Bombyx mori: one gene and its partner. Each later gene encodes a partner of the first gene's protein in a complex. Links are inferred from orthologs where the notes say so. Each region holds a gene or a part of one and is shown on either strand. Other genes may lie near its edges. The genes, in order: NIF3-like protein and MIP18 family protein galla-2.

The links.
Region 2: the proteins of NIF3-like protein (region 1) and MIP18 family protein galla-2 are in contact, whole or in part, in a crystal structure (PDB 6TBN), measured with the Drosophila melanogaster proteins. The link is inferred for Bombyx mori from reciprocal best matches to the Drosophila melanogaster genes Ciao1 and galla-2. Residues at the interface, in NP_610996.1 of Drosophila melanogaster: Arg16, Trp18, Arg60, Thr61, Arg63, Phe79, Glu105, Lys107, Arg123, Asp150, Lys152, Tyr168, Asn170, Ser195, Thr196, Trp198, Thr216, Ser248, Gly249, Gln250, His251, Ser252, Arg253, Tyr256, Gly272, Asp273, Asp274, Arg277, Glu299, Gln304; in NP_648416.1 of Drosophila melanogaster: Ser74, Pro106, Lys109, Thr111, Ala124, Lys127, Gln128, Asp131, Lys132, Glu133, Arg134, Ala136, Ala137, Glu140.

What each region holds. Positions count from the first base shown.
Region 1 is NC_085116.1:9,598,632-9,608,778, reverse strand, and holds the start of NIF3-like protein, read left to right. Parts: upstream 1-4,680; coding exon 4,681-4,808; intron 4,809-7,789; coding exon 7,790-7,921; intron 7,922-9,083; coding exon 9,084-9,260; intron 9,261-9,896; coding exon 9,897-10,090; intron 10,091-10,147. UniProt on the Drosophila melanogaster protein: Essential component of the cytosolic iron-sulfur (Fe/S) protein assembly machinery. Required for the maturation of extramitochondrial Fe/S proteins.
Region 2 is NC_085117.1:633,605-643,576, forward strand, and holds MIP18 family protein galla-2, read left to right. Parts: upstream 1-4,040; 5' UTR 4,041-4,165; coding exon 4,166-4,442; intron 4,443-5,272; coding exon 5,273-5,460; 3' UTR 5,461-6,337; downstream 6,338-9,972. Other genes in the region: intersectin-1, read right to left, coding at 1,052-1,130, 1,673-1,771, 2,545-2,667. UniProt on the Drosophila melanogaster protein: Component of the crb-galla-Xpd (CGX) complex which is essential for proper mitotic chromosome segregation in early embryos. The CGX complex is also required for cell proliferation in developing wing disks.

The DNA of each region.
Region 1 (10,147 bases):
CACATCTTCAATTGATTTAAAATTACTTGTATTTTTACTTCTGTGCTATTTTCATGACACGTGTATATTAAGTCTACTAGTTGCATTTTAGGAAATAAAACACAATGGGTAATAAAATGAAATTAACTAAAATTCATTTATTTGTTATATGTAGACAATTAAATAACTCTTAAATGACAAGTCAATACACATAACACAATACACATAGTACTTGATCTCTATTTACAAAATATTGGTTATATTATTATTATTATTAAGTTCAGTTAATTTTCTGTAGTCTTATAATATAACATTTCCTCTATTTTAAGTAAATTCTTTTTTTTCAACGAAATACATAATTTATTTTAATTAATATCTAAATGGACCATGAGTATCATTAAAATTTCGCAATTTAAATTTCAATTCAATTAAAAATTGCCATTTTTCTTTAATAAATCTTTTAAGTTTTTGTTTCAATACCTTAACATCTTGTCGTAATTTTGCTTTTCTCGGGGTATTTTTTATTTCTTGCGTTTGAGTACTTGATTCCTCTTGTTTGACCTTTATATAGGACATTTTCCAGAAATTCCAACGTTATACTTACTAGAAGATCCTCCTCGTTCGCTTAACGTCAGGCAAATGATATACATGCTTGCGTGCAACGCTATTCAATACAATAAAAAAGTTCAAAAAATACCACATGATGGCTCTTATAATATGAAAAATACATTGCAAAATTATAGTTTTCACGATTGTTTTTCCAAATTTAGTATATGACATAGATTAAGTACAATTTACAAGACAAATGGTATTAAATATTATAATGAGAAAAAATATCTCACATTTTAAAAATATATGCTCACACTAGTAAAAATTTATCAATGAATCTGACATATGGAAGGATATTCCACAAACTGGAGAGGATTCTCGCTTATAACCACTTACAATACAAGTGTTCACCATGATTACACGGAAACTTTCACGATTTTCGAAAAAAAACAAGCCACAAGCTGTATCAGTGCCCTTTTAACTTCAAACTACAAACGTAAATAGACGCCATTTTTCTTTTAATCCATTCATAGCTCTTTTTCGGTGATGCCAACAATTAATCTGGCTTCCCACCAAATTCAACATGAAAACCATCAGAAATCTACGTACCTACCATTAAATTTTCCATTAAACAGAGTTCTTATTAATATAGAACAATAATTTTTTTGTTAACGAGCTTTATTAATATATGATGTTCTATTAAAAATCAATATATATCATATAATCAATACTTCTCATATAATTTATTTTAATAAATTGTCATCATCAGAAACTAATTTCACCATAACTTTGTACGTTTATTTTGGACCAATTCAATTTTTTACGTTGATGGAAATTCTAAATTCTCGCAACATTTTCTAGTTAAGTTTAAGTCAAAGTCACATCGTTTAAATAATATGTATTTAGATATATTATTGTCATAAAATGTTTAAAATCCTGTAAAGTGGATTGATTTTAACCTTTTCGATAATTTTCAACAACGCCCAAGCTACTAAAAAATCCACTAACCACTAAATGCCATTTTTTATAAGTAAGATAGGGGTCCAAATTACGAGATTTTGTGGAAAATCCTCTAAGCTAGCAACACTGCTTTTTGTTTGTAAAATGTGCGAGAGGGACACCACCACTTAATAATCATTCTCTTTTCAGACCGTTTTTCCTTACATCTTTTGCTATTTAAAAATAAACTTTAAGTCATAGAGATAAAGTATATTTTTTGTTTTTATGTCAAACGAAGTAAGCACTCCAGTTAGGATAGTAACTCTATGACTGAAAATTACAAATTTAAAATTACGAGTTACAAGCACAGAGCAAATACAAAACACATTTTTTTTGTAGGTAATTTTTCGGCCACTGGCTACAACACCTTATAGCTTCAGTTTTTTTTAAAATAAAATGCGTATATAGGTAATCATCTGTTAAGAGGTTGACCCCAACTGTTCTGGTGAAACCGGAAACAGCCGCAGACCATCTGTTATCTCTTCCTTCGAAATAAAATGAAATTACATTAGTTAAATGGTGGGAATTTACTTGTAGCTCAATGGGTTATTTGGAAATTTGGTTTTTTCCCACTTGTAACAATGCGTTTTAGATAGTGACAATTGTAACAATGCGTTATAGAATGTTTAATATGCCACCATCAATAAATGCTTAAATCTAAAAAAATACTTAATTCAAATAAAATTTCATCGCATTTTTGTCAATAGTCGCAATTTTATTTGTCCCTTAAATGTTATCTGGACATTTCTGGCCAATGGCCCTAAAGCCATTGACTTCCATTTTTTTGAAAAACCTTAAATGTCATATTTGACAAATATTCTACAGTGATTATTTCAAAAAAATTACATTTCTGAAACAATTTGTTTTCAAGAACTTCACTCTTCTCGAGTGGCAAACACGAAGTGAGTACATAACTTTACTAATTTATCTTGACTAATTTAATGAACAAAACGTATAAACAATAATACGTGTATTAAAAAATCAACATACTAACGTTTAAAATTTTCCAAAAAGATTCCACAATGACTTATTTGTATGTTTATACATAAATTAAGTGTTATAGTTCCTTAATAGCCGAATATTATGTAAATTTCCAGTTGACGTCATTATTATACAAAATAAGTAAATAGAATAAACGCTTAAAATGTTTAAACTGGAACTGATTCAAAATCTGGCCGGACACAAGGGTATAGTTTGGAATGTGTCGTGGCATCCACTTGGAAAATATTTTGCTTCTTGTGGTGAAGATAAAACTATAAAATTATGGAGTAAATATGGACAAGATTGGGCGATTAAGACTGTACTTGTCGATGGACATCAGAGAACAATTCGGGAAGTAGCCTGGTCACCCTGCGGTAATTTCCTCGCTTCAGCCAGTTTTGATGCGACTACTGCAATTTGGGATAAAAAAAGTGGTGTGTATTTTTCCCTTGTGACCCTGTGAAGAATTTGTACATCCAAAATTAAAATGAGTAACACTTTATAGGTGAATTCCAATGCAATGCAACTTTAGAAGGCCATGAAAATGAAGTTAAAAGTGTAGCATGGTCACCTTCAGGCCATCTCCTGGCTACTTGTGGAAGAGATAAGTCTGTTTGGGTGTGGGAAGTAGCTGGAGAAGATGAATACGAGTGTGAAGCTGTACTTAATGCTCACAATCAGGATGTGAAGAAAGTTAGTGCATGAATAAACAAAATTGAGTTTGTGTTTCTTACATATAATGAATGGATAAATTATATTATTTTCTTTATAGGTTGCATGGCATCCTTCTCTAGATATCTTAGCATCAGCATCTTATGATAACACAGTAAAACTGTACCAAGAAGATCCTGTAGATAATGATTGGACTTGTGTTGCCACTCTACATTCGCATGAGTCAACAGTTTGGAGTTTGGCATTTGATAAAACTGGAGAAAGACTGGCGACATGTAGTGACGATAGAACTGTAAAAATTTGGAAAGAATACAAACCTGATAATCAAGAAGGTGTTGTGGTGACTGATCGAGAGGCAGTCTGGAAATGCATATGTACACTCTCTGGATTTCACACACGATGTATTTATGATATTGCTTGGTGTCATAAAACTGACCTCATAGCTACTGCTTGTGGAGATGATATCATTAGAATATTTAAAGAGAGTGAAGATTCTGATCCTAATGCTCCCACTTTTGAACTTCTTTGTACAAAGAAAAATGCTCATTCTCAAGATGTAAACTGTGTAGCTTGGAATCCTTCAGGAAATCAAGAACTGCTTTCTTGTAGTGATGATGGAGAAATAAAAATATGGAAGTTTACAGAAGCTTAAAGTAACTAATTATTGACAGAAAGATCAAATAGAAATGATCAAAAAATCTAACAAGGAGTGATAATAATTTTATATTAAGGTTATGCCACAAGACATTAGCTGTGATTGTATCTAGCAAGATATAAATGTATTGTAAATACAGTATAAGTTTCAGTCTTTATAATAATTGTTGAAAACATGATTTAGTATTATTGTTCACGAACATAACCCAAATAACTAATAAAAAAAATAACAAAAAACATTATAACATAGATAAAATGTTTTGGTATACACTGCACTGGCTTGCTGATATAATCCATGGGCTTACATATTTTTTTTAAATATGAAAGCTTTGAAAATCTGACAATTATTATGAAATATCAACTTCTTTAGATCCAATCATTGAACTATACAAAATACCCACAGTCAGGTTTTTTTTGGTATAAGAAACGGTCTTATAATATGAATTAACAAAACACTAAAGTACTATATTATTACACAATATACCATATTAAACTATTACAAACCATATTAAAAATTAAAAGTGGCATTATAAAATTCCAATTTATAAATTAAACATCAGTTAATTGTTTTTATAATGGAGTAGTTAGTTTTAAAGATAAGGAAAAAGGAAATAAAGTTTGGATTAAAATAATGATGAAAAACAGCATTTATTATTTCACTGAATCTTTTCAAAATGCCTTTTGGTAAAATTTAATTTTTTAACAATGTTTTATTTCAAATTTATTAGTAAATTTTACATTTAAAAATTAAACTTTTTTCAGATATTACTAATGTTCTTTCAGTTAGGCAGGCACATTTTAAAGTCAAGAAATTCAAGGAATCACTTGTTCACACATTTTATCAAAATGTCAACTGAGAAATTCTGTGCAGTGTCTTTGGAAAGAGTAGTAACAGTACTTGAAAAATTTGCTCCAAAAGAATTGGCAGAGAGTTGGGATAACACTGGTTTGTTGGTGGAACCTTACACACCGAGGTATGAGCAAATTTATTCTTGACTACAAATACCCACTAGCAGTAACAAAAAAAAATGTTATTCATTTAAAATTATGTACTATTATAATAATTATATTAAGGTAGCTACTGCCTCACATAGAAACTGGTAATGACAGAGATGCTAAGCCTTACTGTGTATTGCTTTAGTCTTTAGACTTATTGTAGAGGATTACACAGAATTGGCCGTGTGGTGTCCGTGTGGTGTGGCCTCGATAAAGAATAATACCGGGCGACTAACGGGTTATCCAGAGAATGAGCGGCAACGTTCTCTGAGTATCATAACAGCATACTGCGATCGCCAACCCGCATGCCAAGCGTGGCGATTATGGAAACCCCTCCCAACATGTCTGACACAAATAAAAACCGCCCAGTCCTCGGCAGCTCCGCTATTCCTGGCTACAGTAGCGGTCAAGGTAACGGCGGGGCAGGGGGTGCTAAGAATCTCCGGCAGAGATCCGGCTACGTAAAAAACGACGATTGGACCTGGCAACATATAACGCGCGAACACTGCGGACCGATGAGAAGATTGTGGAACTCGAGGAGGAATTGAGCAGGTTACGGTGGGACATTGTGGGCTTATCTGAAGTCCGAAGAGAGGGAGAGGAAACGATAATTCTGAGGTCCGGTAACTTGTTCTATTTTCGGGAAGGTGATCATCTGTCTTAAGGTGGTGTCGGGATTATCGTCCACAAGTCCCCTATGAATAATGTGTTGTAAATCGAGAGTGTATCGACCAGAGTGGTTGTACCTTGTACTCAGAATCACCAAAAGGTATTCGTTGAAGATAATACAGGTTTACGCTCCGACTATGTAATAGGACATTTCCAGAGCCATGCATAGCTCTACAACTCACTTCACCATTGTCATGGGGGATATCAACGCCAGACTCGGTAAACGGTGCGAAGGGGAGCTGCGAGTAGGACCATTTGGATTTGGGCATCGAAATCACCAGGGAAACTTACTTGCCGATTTCATGGAGAAGAAAGAATTATTTATGATGACCTCTTCAGAAAACGGGGTCACAGGAAGTGGACCTGGATGAGCCCCAATAGCGCTATCAAAAATGAGATTGATTTTATTATGTCGCAGATTTTATTATGATGTCTCTGTGATCAATACGATTAAAACCGGAAGTGATCATCGGGTGGTAAGAGGCACAATGAACCTCAATAAACCTTGAGAGATTCCGAGTTATGAGGTCTACGCTCCGTTCAGCACCAGCTCAGATCCAAAGTTCTAGACACTTTCAGCTCGAACTTCAAAACCGCTTCGAGTGCCTAGGAGGCTCCGTGGACGATTACAATAACGGGTTTGTGAATGCTGTCCATACGATCGGTTCCAAGATTTTTGGAACCCGTCGTGCAAACAGAACCAAAAAACTCTCAGACCCTACTTTCAAACTCATGGAAGAACGTCGCGAGATGATTATGCAGTCTTGCAGAGATGTTATTTCTCCGAAACTATTTACCGCTGCGTTGGAAGACATTTTCAAAGTTCTGAACTGGAAAGGGCTAGCATAAACATCATCGGCGAGTACATAGTTCGCCGACGATATTGTGACTATGGCCGAGACCTTGGAGGACCTTAGTACAATGCTCAAAGACCTCAGTAGGGCTTCTATCCGAGTGGGCCTGAATATGAACATGGAAAAAACAAAAATTATGTTGAATGTTCATATAGCGCCCACTCCAGTAAAAATTGGAAGCTCTACGCTCGAAGTTGTTGACGAGTATATTTAACTGGGACACACTGTCCTGCTAAGTAAGTCCAACTTCGAAAAAGAGGTCAATCGTCGAATCCAGCTTGGATAGGCAGCGTTCGGAAAGCTACGTAAATCTTCTCATCACAAATACCACAGTGTCTCAAGACGAAAGTCTTTGATCAGTGTGTGTTGCTCTGAAATGTGGTTGCTCACAATGGCCCTTATGAGAAGGCTCAAGGTCACTCAAAGAGCAATGGAGAGGCTATGCTTGGAGTTTTCCTGCGAGATAAATCAGAAATGAGGAGATTCGCAGGAAAACCATGATAACCGACATAGCCCAAAGAATTGCGACGTTGAATTGGCAGTGGGCAAGGCACATTGCTCGTAGAACGGATGGCCGTTGGGGCCAGAAAGTTCTTGAGTGGCGACCGCGTACCGGAAGACGTAGCGTGGGCAAGCCTCCCGCAAGATAGAACGACGATCTATTGAGATTCGCGGGAATCTGCTGGATGCAGGCAGCGCAGGACCGGTCTTTGTGGCGAGACTTGGGGGAGCCCTGTGTCCAGTAGTGGACGTCTGTGGGCTGATAAGAAGAAGAAGACATAGAATTGATAGATAAGTCTTAAGTATTAAAGTTATGATTACCTTCATGCTTTGGGTTGAAATTGTATGTGCTTTGAAGTTTCAAATTATAAACTGTCAATTCAGCCGTATGTAGGGTATATAAAATATATAGGCTAAAGTGTCTCTTTGAATAAAGCCAATGATGACATTATTTGAGGATTACCAAACATGTTTGATTAAAACATGGGTATATAATTATTTTTCATATATAATTATATTATATTATTTCATTGAAAATTGGTTTTCTGTAATCAGCTAACCTATTCCTCGAAAACCTTTTTAATAAAAATAAATAAAATTACATGGCCAATGCCCATTGCACTTTTGCGAATCACAAGATTTAAAAAATACAGTCTATTCTCAAACACAACCAGTGTGGACTAAAAGTCACTCCCCTGTTATAGAAAGATCTATACAGAACACAAAGTGAGGATGCAACTATAATATGAGTTGATGATGTAGAAGTGGTACCAGCTAAAGTCAAATGCCTGTAAGTTCAGACATATAATCGCCAAACTTATAAAAATACTTTAAATAAATTTCCATTAGTTAATTTGACAAATTTAAATTAATTTTCTTTATGTTTTTAATTACCTATTTAAAATATAATATTTTTTTATAATTTTCAATTCCAGACAAATAACCAAAATTTTGTTAACTAACGACTTAACAGAAGATGTGGCCTTGGAAGCTGAAATTCTGGCGTGTGAGATGATTATTTCATATCATCCTCCGATATTTGCGCCTTTGAAGTCTATTGTTCAGCGGTAATTATTTATATAGTTCTAGTCACACGTCTTTGACGCTATTTATCACTTTGTCAGCATAGTATCCATATATTTTATATTATCAAATGAAAGTACAGTCAAACCTGGATAAGCGAGAGTTCAAGGGAGCACAATCTCATTCTCGCTTATAGAGGTTTCTCACTAACCCGAGTTTCTCGCTAATGCTCCCTCTGAATTTCGATTCGCGATTTTCCGCATTCAAATGCATTCACTATTTTAAGTTTATGACTTTAATGACAGTACTTTAATTTTCCGTTTTTACATGATGCAGAACAGAACTTTCCTTCGCAATTGATTAACGATAATCTGAGTAAGTCCGACAAACAGGACGGTACACAGGCACACGTGTCCATTCGAAAATAATGCGATAAAAGAATACGATAAAATAACAACGTTATTTAGTTTCACGAAATAGAATAGGTTCAATATTCACGAGAAAACAATACAAAAACAATGATAATAAGTTCCACGAAAGTTAAAAATGAGTCATAAAATAGCAAATGTTAAATTTGTAATTTGTTTTGTCATTTGTTCTTCCTAAATAATATAAATAAATAAATAAAGCTCGGCTGTCGCTTATAGAGGTATAGATAGGTAGCAGTCTCACTTACGGAGGTCCATGAGGAAAAAACGACTCTCTCTTACAGAGGTTTCTGTTTCTCGCTAATAGAGGTTTTGGGAGCTTAAAATGACGGGTCCTTGCTATTACTCTCACTTATAGAGTTTTCTTACTTATCCAGTTCTCAATTACCCAAGTTTGACTGTATTAGTTATGACTAAAATCACGGTGGACTATACGTCTGGGAATTGATTATTTAAATGCCAAAAAGCACGGTGGCAAAAGTGTACCGTCTGTAAAATTGTAAATCTGAAGGTTACCTATCCATATTAATATAATAAATATAAAAATGGTATACACATTGTGCGTAGAATAGAAAAGGACTGAGAATACCTTGTATTTAGACTTTTAGTGTACTATTCCCGAGGGATATTTTTTATACAATAACGCTAGCCGAAACTATTTTAATAGAATGTTATAATTATATTATATTATATTATATATTTATATTATATAACTGTTACAAGACTTTAGATCAAGTCTATTTACAACTTGGCGATTTCAAATATGTATTTTTTACAGTTCGTGGAAAGAACGGGTTGTATCTTATTTATTAGAAAAACGAATCGCCCTGTACTCGCCACATACTAGTTGGGATAGTGTGCAAGGCGGGGTCAATGACTGGTTGGCATCTGCTTTCTCTGTCGCAGAGTCTAAGCCAATTTTACAATCAAACAACCCCGACTTCGGAGCCGGCAGGTAAGCTATGTTAAAAGTTCGCCCAATTATAAGAATTTGATCGCAAACACTGACCTCATAATGTTTGCATTAATTAAATGTAATTATTATTGTATTATTGTAATAATTTATTATTAATATTTTTTTGATTTTCGTCGCTGTCAAACCAAAATCTTCTATGTGCAAAAACTCTATTTTGAATTAAGGAGTAAAAACATTTTCGTATAAAATTTTATAAGGTGATTTTTTAAGAACTATATCAAATGAAAGCTATATATAAAAATTAAAGCTATAGACACATAACTGTTTTTTTTATAAGGTATATTTTTTATAAAGATAAACTGTACGAAGATAGGCTGTAAACTATACGAAAATGTTAAAAAGTAAAAATCTCAAAAAGTGCACATAGCAGATTTTTGTTTGAAACGACGTTTTGCTATTTATATTTAAGTTTGAAAACCAGAGAAGAGAGTGCTACTTATCTGATTTGTTTGTTATAAATATTATGGATTCTAAGGAGTCTTTGAAATAATCGCCGTCTTCGGTATTTACCAAAGAGTTTCGGTTACAGCCGTCGCAACATTTAGCACGAGTACCCTTTACACGTTAGATCAGGAAGACATCGGCCCTAAATTAATTGAGAATATTTTTTTGTAGATTACTTCATTTGAGCACCGGAATCCCATTATCTGATGCAGTAAACAGAATTAAGGAACTTACACGACTCTCCCATGTCCGCATCGCTGCCGCAAAGGGAAAGTCTATGACGCACACCGTTCAGAGGGTAGCGTTATGTGCCGGATCCGGAAGTTCGGTATTAAAGGGAGTCGATGCTGATCTTTATTTGACAGGTAGTATATTATAGTATAATAAGCTGATAAATTCTATTAAATTGATTAATATTTCAT
Region 2 (9,972 bases), on another chromosome or scaffold:
GCGTTAATGGTCATGGTATCAGAGCAGTCACCGTCTACAACGACCATGATGCTCCGCCCATCCAAAAAGCTAGCGATCCACTTGCAGAGACCCTCGGGGATTCCGTAAGATGGTAGCTTCGACAGAAGTGCCCTATGCCAGACCCTGTCGAAGGCCTTCGCGATATCAAGGCTCACAGCAAGAGCCTCGCCCTTGCTCTCCAAGGCTTCAGCCCACCTGTGAGTAAGGTATACGAGAAGATCGCCAGCTGAGCGACCGTGACGGAAACCGTACTGTCGGTCACTGATCAGCTGGCGATCTTCAAGATACTTCAGGAGTTGTATATTTATTATTCGCTCCATCACCTTGGAAAGCAAGGAAGTTATCGCGATAGGCCTATAGCTCGATGGAAAGGAAAGCTTTTATTACTTAAAACTTTTTTTAAACTCTTTAAGTTTAAAAAAGTTACTTTAATTTTACTTTAGTTTAGTTACTTTAGTCTTTTACTAGTGGTCCCGCAGTAGTCGAAATTCGACAATAATTGATTAAAATTATAAGTTTGAACATTACTACGGTTCTATTGTCAAAGACTATTTATTATACTTCTAATCACAGACTTCGCCAAGACTACACTATAGACAAATAACATTAAAGAAAAACAATATTAATCTATTCTCAATTAGACCACAGACTTTAAACAATAAACAAAAGTTTGACAATAATATGTGTTGTCAAAGTTGTATTGTCAAAGTGTGTGTAATGTTTTATTTATTGATTTAGTGTATTTTTATGCATAATTTAGAAAAAAAATATTAACATTCTGCACTCCTTCTCTTTATTCTCTATAAGTGTGGGTAGTTTGAAAACTCCTCCGTCCGCGTGATTTTCGTAAAAAAAGGGGTAAAGTTTTTGCTTCACGTATTAATATTTCTTAGTATTATTACAGGAAAAGTAATTAAGTATTTTATTGTTCATTAATTCTGGAATATTCCGTATCATTACATAAATACCCGTGATTATCCCACCGGGATCCCGGTCACATTCCACCGGGCGAACGAGACTTGAGACTCACCTGTGGGGCTTAAAGAGGCGATCAGAGATGGTGGAAGCATCTTCGGCACCTCTAAGCCGCGCAGTTTCAAGTTTATAATCTGTAATGAACACACAATTTTACTGGTGGTAGGATGTCTTGTGAGTCCGCACGGGTAGGCACCACCACCCTACCTATTTCCGCCGTGAAGCAGTAATGCGTTTCGCATTGAAGGTTGGCGCAGCCGTTGTAACTATACTGAGACCTTAGAACTCATATCTCAAGGTTTGTGGTGGAATTTACGTTATAGATGTCCTATGAGCTCCAGTAACCATTTAACACCAGGTGGGCTGTGAGATTGTCCACTCATCTAAGCAATAAAAAAAAGATCACGGATAGAACATAAGGTGGCGTCCTATGTCTGTGTACGATAGAACATCGATTATGATCGAAAAAAAGGTTACTTTATTTGCAAAAATTTAAAAAAAGCTTCTATATAATAAATATATGTATATATAGTCCATAAGAACCGATGTTTTTTATATCGATGTTTCACTTTTGGAAATATCGATATCCTAACATCGTTATTTTTAATGAGCGATTTTTCAACCGGATACGGACGTTGGCACATTCGCAAATTATGAAGACTACACAGAAACTCACCTTGCAAGCTATAGAGAACTCCTTCAAATCCAGCTTACCGTCGGCGTTCGTGTCCGCCAGTGACCATATTTGTCCCAAGACCGGTGGAGGAAGCTGAGACTGTGAACAGAAAGACAAACAAAACTTATTTTAAACTAGCTGTGCCCGCGAATTCGTCTGCGTGGAATTAAAAAAATATTACTTTATTCTATAATAATGTTACGCCGATAAGAGCAACGCCATCTGTTGTCGAATGGCAGAAGTGAATATCAAAGGAACTAGTAAACTCGAGAACGCTCGGGAAGTACAACGCCATCTATTGTCAGATAACGGAAACAGATATCCACACGACTCGACTTGCCAGAAATCGGAACTACTCGAAGCGAAACAGCGAACGGATCACCTGAAGCGAAGCGGAAAAAGCGAATTACGAAGTATTTTAGGTGTTTAATTTGTACTGTGGTTGTATTTGTGGAAATTTTATTTATCCCGAACCCCAGCGTGTAAAAATAATTTTAGAATTTCTCTAAAATAGAAGTAGCCTAATTTACTCTTTATTCCATCTCGTGTGTTTAGTGCGAGTGTTTTAACGTTCTCGATCGCGTAAAAGTTAACTCAAATTTATATGAAACGAAATAAATATGAAAAAAAAAAATTGTTTGGAGTTGGAACGTTTGCCTACGTTGGTCGCTAGGGGCGCTGTTCCATATCCATACAAATTTGAGTTAACTTTAGGCAGCAGTAGGGCAGCGGCTTGGCTCTGCCCCTGGCATTGCTGAAGTCCATGGGCGACGGTAACCACTCACCATCAGGTGGGCCGTATGCCCATCTGCCTACAAGGACAATAAAAAAAAAAAGTTCTAGATTTATAATAAATACGCAAATTAACTGACCTGTAACATGAATCTTTTAGCTTGTTCGCCCGTCAAATTTCCATTGACAGGTCCAAGGTTTCTAAAGTGCTCCGAGAACTTCGCATGCTCATGTGCTTGTATAGTCCACGGGTCCGCCATCATTTCTGAATTAAAGACGTTTCTTTGAACCTAAAAAAAGATATACCTCTTAGTATGTATGCAGTCTTCATTACAGGAAGCCTAAATTTATAATCATAGAAAAATCCTAATCCTTTTTCATTGTTTAATTTTCAACATTTTGATTGACATTAATGCAGTAATTTTGAGAATATTTTAATTTGGCATTGTATATTTAATGTTGTCTTTGGAAATCAAACAATGCTTCCTTTGGGAAGTTAATATTAGAACAGGTGAATATATCTATATTAAGTTATAATATTGAACTAGATAAACCATCAGATAATATCTTATTATGAGCATGTTTCTGCATATCTTGGTTTATCAAATTTAAAAAAAGAAATGCATATCACGGTTTAAGGTTTATGTTGTACTATTAAAAAAATTTGTTTGATTTTAAACAATAGACATTGCAACATGTTTTTGTTAACTTTTTCCCGACAATCAGGAGCGGTGTCTTTAGCCAAATTGTATGAATAGAATGTCTCCAATATGGTAGGTCATGATAAAGTACGAAAAAGCCTTGATTAATCAAGTGAAAAGTAGACTTCTAAATTTTTCCTATATTTTATCACTTCTCTAAATCTATTAAAGATGTACCTAAGTTCTATTTAAAATATTTGCTCGACGTACAGACGTGTGTCACATACAATAAGTAACTCAACATACAATAAGTATTAGAATACTACAATTGGTAGAGCAGTTCAAGATAATGTTCTTAATTTTTTAATATTGCTAGCTCGTTGTTTTATAACTCCGTGACCCGGATAAAGTTTAAAGATACCTTAAGCACTAATATTCAATACATTTTTTTGTTAAAATCAACGTTGTTCAATAAATTAATAATAAGTACTACTACTCTTTTGGTACCAACAGGCAGGGGGTGTGTCTGCGAACTAAAACAAATATTTAGGAATTAAATTCTAGGGAATTACATAATGTATTACTTACTTTAACTGTTGTTTGACCTAAGAGAATAGATTTAAGACTGATCCTCCTGAAAAAGGATCGAGTAAAACCCCTCAAAGTTCTAGATAAAGTATTGATTTTTTGATTGGGTGCAACTGTCAAAATCGAAATTTGGTTTTTGACAGTTAATTTTTTTATTGTGGCTCGCTCGGTTTGTGCATTAGCCAGTGTCAATTATTAATTATTTTGCCGTTTATAAATAATAAAAAACGAAGGAAACTGTCTATGTTGGCCATTATTATTCTGTGTAAGTAGATATGAATTACATTAGCAGCGTCTGTCATTTTTCATAAAATTAAGAATATAAACTAAAATAAGATATGACTTAAAGATCTTAGTTACCATGTCATAAAATTCCTAAAAAAAAGAGATAGAGATAGAAGTGAGTTATTATTTTGAGTAGAAAGGCTGTATGGGCTTAGATCCCCTTGCCTTTCATAATAAGGAAAAATTGTACCAAAAAATATATTTTGAGTAGAACGAATTGATATAATAAAAAGTTCGAACTTATAAAATGACCAAAACAGCGGATAACATCAACCCTCACATTTACGAGAAGGGTTCAGAACGGGAGATCACTTCTTCGGAACGCGACGAAGACTTGCAAGATGAATTTGATGATCGCGAAATATTTGATTTAATACGAAATATAAATGATCCTGAACACCCATTGACACTCGAGGAGCTCAGGGTGGTGGAAGAGAAGAATATAATCGTTAATAACGATGATAGTACTGTATTAGTCAATTTTACACCGACAATTCCCCATTGCAGTATGGCGACTCTGATAGGTACGTACTTTTTTTAGCATTAAAACCTATAGTTAATGAGAGAGTAACACACACATAACCAACGCACACCGATAATGGTGGAACAGCCAATATTTCTAAATTAATATTATCATACTAATGTTTTTTTATTGGCAAGCAAATAAACATTCATGCCCAGCCAACGAACAGCTTCCTTTTTTTAATTGCGTGGGTAGACGATCATACAGCCCGCTTGGTGGGGAGTAGCTACAGTCCCTCATGGAAGGTAGCAATTTCAGGGGTGCAACTAAAGTGCAGTCTACCGCTGACCATTTTCAATGGATTGATAATGGGTTACCGTAAACTCTTATCTCTCATCTCTCATCTTAGGCAGTTGAAAAGATCTCGCCAGTTATATTTCAAAATTGTCACCTCTCTTTCGGCCAATATGATCGAAGAACTCAAATATCTTCCTGAAGCAGACGATAGAAAGCCTTTGGATATTGAGCTGTTTTAATATGGATGCGTTAGTCTGATATTTTGTCCACGGAATAGTCACTACTGTCTAGCCTATTCCCAATTTGAACCATTATTGTTTTTGCTTAAGAGAGAGTAATTTTAAAATAGGGCTCAAACTTCGAGTTGCTCAAACTTCGAGTTCAGGACTCAAGATGGGTGGCAGTTGTCCCAATGTGATGTCCACGGACATCTGTAATGGCTATAAACTATGAGAGCTGTGAGCTTGTTCATTCCCCTAGTGCAGTTAAACACTTTTGTAGATAATCTGTTCTGTTATAGTTCTAATTAAAGTTGTGAAGCTTCCGGAAAAAAGTACTGCAAGCTTAATTAATGAGATTTGATTTTTATTTCAGGTCTTTCAATACGAGTTCAACTACTCCGAGCTCTGCCAAGCCGTTTCAAAGTGACCGTACAAGTATCGGAGGGCTCTCACGCTTCCGAACATGCGGTCAACAAACAGTTAGCGGACAAGGAAAGAGTTGCTGCAGCTTTAGAGAACAATAATCTACTGCAAATCATCAATCAATGCATAGCTGTTTAATTGATAGGGATAAATTTATTTGTAAGCCAGATTATCAGTGGCTTTGGTCCAAAGAATGCTGGTACGGCATCTGATTCACTTGCATATACATTTGAGGTTATAGACGTATCATTCAATTATCGATCTTAAAATATGATGCCTATGACTTCATTGGTCACTTGCTGGTACCTGTTTTGAAGGAGACAGCTTATATTATTTATTATTGCTTATAAATACTTGAATGCTTAATGGGTTCCTGTAGGACCTCTTGTGAGTCCGCGCGGGTGGGTACCACCGCCCCGCCTATTTCTGCCGTGAAGCAGTAATGCGTTTCGGTTTGAAAGGTGGGGCAGCCGTTGTAACTATACTGAGATCTTAGAACTTATATCTGAAGGTGTGTGGCGCATTTACATTGTAGATGTTCCAGTAACCACTTAACACCAGGTGGGCTGTGAGCTCGTCCACACATCTAGGCAATAAGAGATAAATAAACATTAAATACCTATTTATTTTGTATTTTAGCAGGAAATAAAAGGCTTTCTATTTTATATTTATTTATTGCTCATATGGGTCAAACTTGCCGGCAATGGTATTTAATCTGTCACTAGAGCCCAGGGAAATCATGAAAGTGAAATTCATTACTGCTTGACGTCAGAAAAATATAGTGATCTAGACTTGCAATTGTGTTTTTTTTTTTTTTTTGTCCTACCACCATTAATATTTAGACCTTGTGTTCCATGAATAATGATAATATACACTATGTTTTCAATGTGCTCTGATATCTGTCTACTGGATAATAAAAGTTGATAGCCTAAATAATCATAGAAAAAAAAATGTATATTTTTAGTGAATTTATGTAAAAATATTTTGTATAGTTAATAAATAAATAAATTATGTATGTGGTTTGTTATTTACTGCTCGTATTCGCGGGAAATTTGCACTCAAAAAGTCAAACTCTTATTTTATAAACACTTATATTTTTGTGGTATTCGGATTTTAACAAGAAAACTGAGAAAACTAAGCTAGGAACTAGATCAGCCTTTCTCAAAGTGGGCGATAACGCCCGCTTGTCGCTGTAGGCATAAAGGATGGTAAGAGACCCAGAAAAAAAATGGGGGCGTTGTGTAGAGGCTTGGGAAGCGATTTGTAATTTCGTCTTGGAGGACTTAGACAACGACCGAGGTCTTTCTATAGTGGTTAAGTAGGTGAAAAAACGGGGGCGCTAAAAAATAATTTATTCTCAAAGTGTACTGTAGACAAAATATGTTTGAGAACCCCTGGACTAGACGATACTAATTATATTAATATTATGTATACGAAGATATTATTTTTATTTTAAATGCTAAATCGGCGCGAGAATGACTGACGTCAGGTGACACCTGCGCGTTCAGGAATAAAATTTCGATCGTGCCCAATGACTAGGGTTATAGTATAGTATGTTATTTCGGATAATTTTGGCCTATACTTTATGTGAACAATTACGAACAATACTGGTGTTAGGACCTCTTGTGAGTCCGCGCGGGTAGGCACCACCACCCTGCCTATTTCTGCCGTGCAGCTGTAATGCGTTTCAGTTTGAAGGGTGGGGCAGCCGTTGTAACTATACTTGAGACCTTAGAACTTATATCTCAAGATAGGTGGCGACATTTACCGCTCCGGTAACCACTTAACACCAGGTGGGCCGTGAACTCGTACACCCACCTAAGCAATAAATTAATAAAAAGTTGCCCGAGCGCCTCCGAAGGAGACCTAACAACTCAAGAGCAGCTGCTCCGCGAATGCATCTACTACCGGATCGGAATCGCGACCCGCTCAAAATATACAGCGAGAAACTCAGCTGGGCTGGTGTATGGATATGGATTAGGTTGCGCAGTTACCAGAGCCCCTAAACCTGCTGCTAATGTTAGAGCTAAAGGCGTCTAATGCAAGGGTTATTGGATCTGATGGATCCGTAAGGACGCGTCTAGGGCGTCGACGGTGACTGGCTCCTGCATAATCAGCATTCGGGAAGCAGTCAGCGGCGGTCACGATTGGGCGATTAACATGACGCATAGCTTCATCGAAGTGCAGTTCCGACGCTGACTTCATGTTTTCGAATCGTTACGAGGTCCAGGTCGTCGTGTATCTCGGCGTTCCTTACTAACCAAGCAATATGTCTGTGTGCTTAGTGCGAGTTTTTTAACGTTCTCGATAGCGTAAAAGTTAACTCATATTTGTATGGAATGGGATCGTTTGCCTATGTTTGCCGCTATGTGGGGCGCTGTTCCAAATGCATACAAAATTGGGCCAACTTTTACGCTATCGAGAACTTTAATAGACTCGCACTAAGCACACTGAAGTAGATACGACTTTTTTTTTTGTTGCCCTTGTAGGCAGACGAGCACACGGCCCACATGATGGTGAGTAGTTACCGTCGCCCATGGACTTCAGCAATGCCAGGGGCAGAGCCAAGCCGCTGCCTACCGAGTCCGAGCCCTACGTAAGAAAACCACAATATACTTAGGACATTAATCAGTTTATTTCATTTCACACAACACAGTGATATTTTTCGTTTACATAAATTATCAATTTTCACAATCTTAATGTTACATATTCTTATATACAAACATCGATCGAACATAATACATTCTCCTTTAGATGTCATAGTGCCTAGACAACACATTAGATGTAAAAATTTTAGATGACATTTATCTTCGCACGTACCTACCTAATAATAGCAAGTGTTTGTGCTATTAAAAACTTGCAGTCGTAAATAAGACGCTAGTAGGATTATTCATTTAGTAAATTAATTGAAATAGATAAGAAATACGAATCGCAATGTGTCGCGTATCTATGGCAAAATGTTCCAAATTGTTTTTTTTTTTTGCTTTTTGTAATGACATTGTTGCCAGCGTCGAGTTTATAATATGATATCCACATAATTATCATGTCATATTTTTAATTGAACTTCAACTTAGTTTACTCCATTCAAAAGCTGAAGTTTTTTTTTTTGTTAAAATCATTTTTCCAAATTGTAAACTCTATAAGGGTCTCCTGTGAAGTTGCAATAATGTCGCTTACACATTATATAATGAAATAAATCAAATGTTAATGATTTATCTAAAATTTCGCATTGAAATTAGTCTTAAAGTAAAATGATAGGAATTTACTGAGATTTCGTTATTTATTTTTTGTAGGACCCGATCTACAATACACGTCCAGCGATTTTTTTTAATTTCCCCGAATTTGTGCCCTTTCACCGACGCTAACTGATAAATAAACCATTATCATTATTGCACGCTCACACAAGAATAAAGAAGAGAGAAAGTGGCACCTGTGACAGAGAAGCCGAGGAGTGCGCGCTTGGGATGATATGGACATGTGATGAGACCAAATGAAAATGATGTTGTTAAGAGAGTGTTAACTATGAATGTGGAAGGATTTAGAGGAAGAGGTAGACCTAAGAAGAAATGGATGGATTGCGTGAAAGACGATATGGGTAGGAGGGGAGTGAGCGAAGAAATGGTATATGATAGAAGAGTATGGAAGGAGAAAACATGTTGCACCGACCCCATGTGACTGGGAGAAGGGCAGGAGAATGATGACACACGAATAGAGACTACTTATATATTATTAAAATAAAACAATTCACGCAACTTATTATCTGCACGCGTTCTCGCCAAAAGGTATCTGATTCGTAATTAGAAACATAAATAAGTGAGATTCTTGTCAGTGATAACAAGAACTCATTATTTGCATTCAATCCACAAAAGAAATTATATTAATTAACAATTATTGCCCGACCCAGAAGCTGATTTTTTACACTTCAAGGGGAGTTTCAACATTATAATTGCCTAAGTTGATACAAAATGCTATGCAATAGCTTTACCGCCGCAGTCCCTGAGTACCACACGTATTTTTTTTATGAATAATAAATTAATCTACATTTATTTTTCATACGAGATTGTGTTTATTTTTTATCGTCTCTGAATCTATTGGCTTTTCATAAAAAATTCCCGCCCCTCAACTCATGTCGCTTCAGGTCCTATGTGTAATGCGTAAATCCACCACTGTTTCTACCCCTCCAATAATTGAACTGTAATTTTAATATAATATGCTTCCTAAGGATGGCAAGTACAAAAAGTTTTTTTTTACTTGGAGACCGCATTCAGGGTACTATTGAAAACTAGTTTTAATTACCCTAAATAAACACACAACGTAGGTACCTACACGTAAAAAAAGCATGACAATCTCGAAAGACCTCCTCAATAGTGGCAAAGTGGAAGATAAGAGGCTTAGGGAGCGTAATCCCTCTGGTCCGATCGGATCAAGAGGACTTTGGACTTCAGCATCAATGTCGTTATCCACTACGTGGAGGACAGGATGGGATGGAGGAACATAGTCCTAACAAAAGTGCTCTGTAAATGTCACGATCCTCAGCACTGAAGAACATGACGCAAGGAGGAGATAGGTACACGTAAGGCCAGCAGAGTCTATCGAGAAACTTATTGTTCAGGGTAGGGTCAATAGTAAAAGACCTCGTGGACAAAGCCC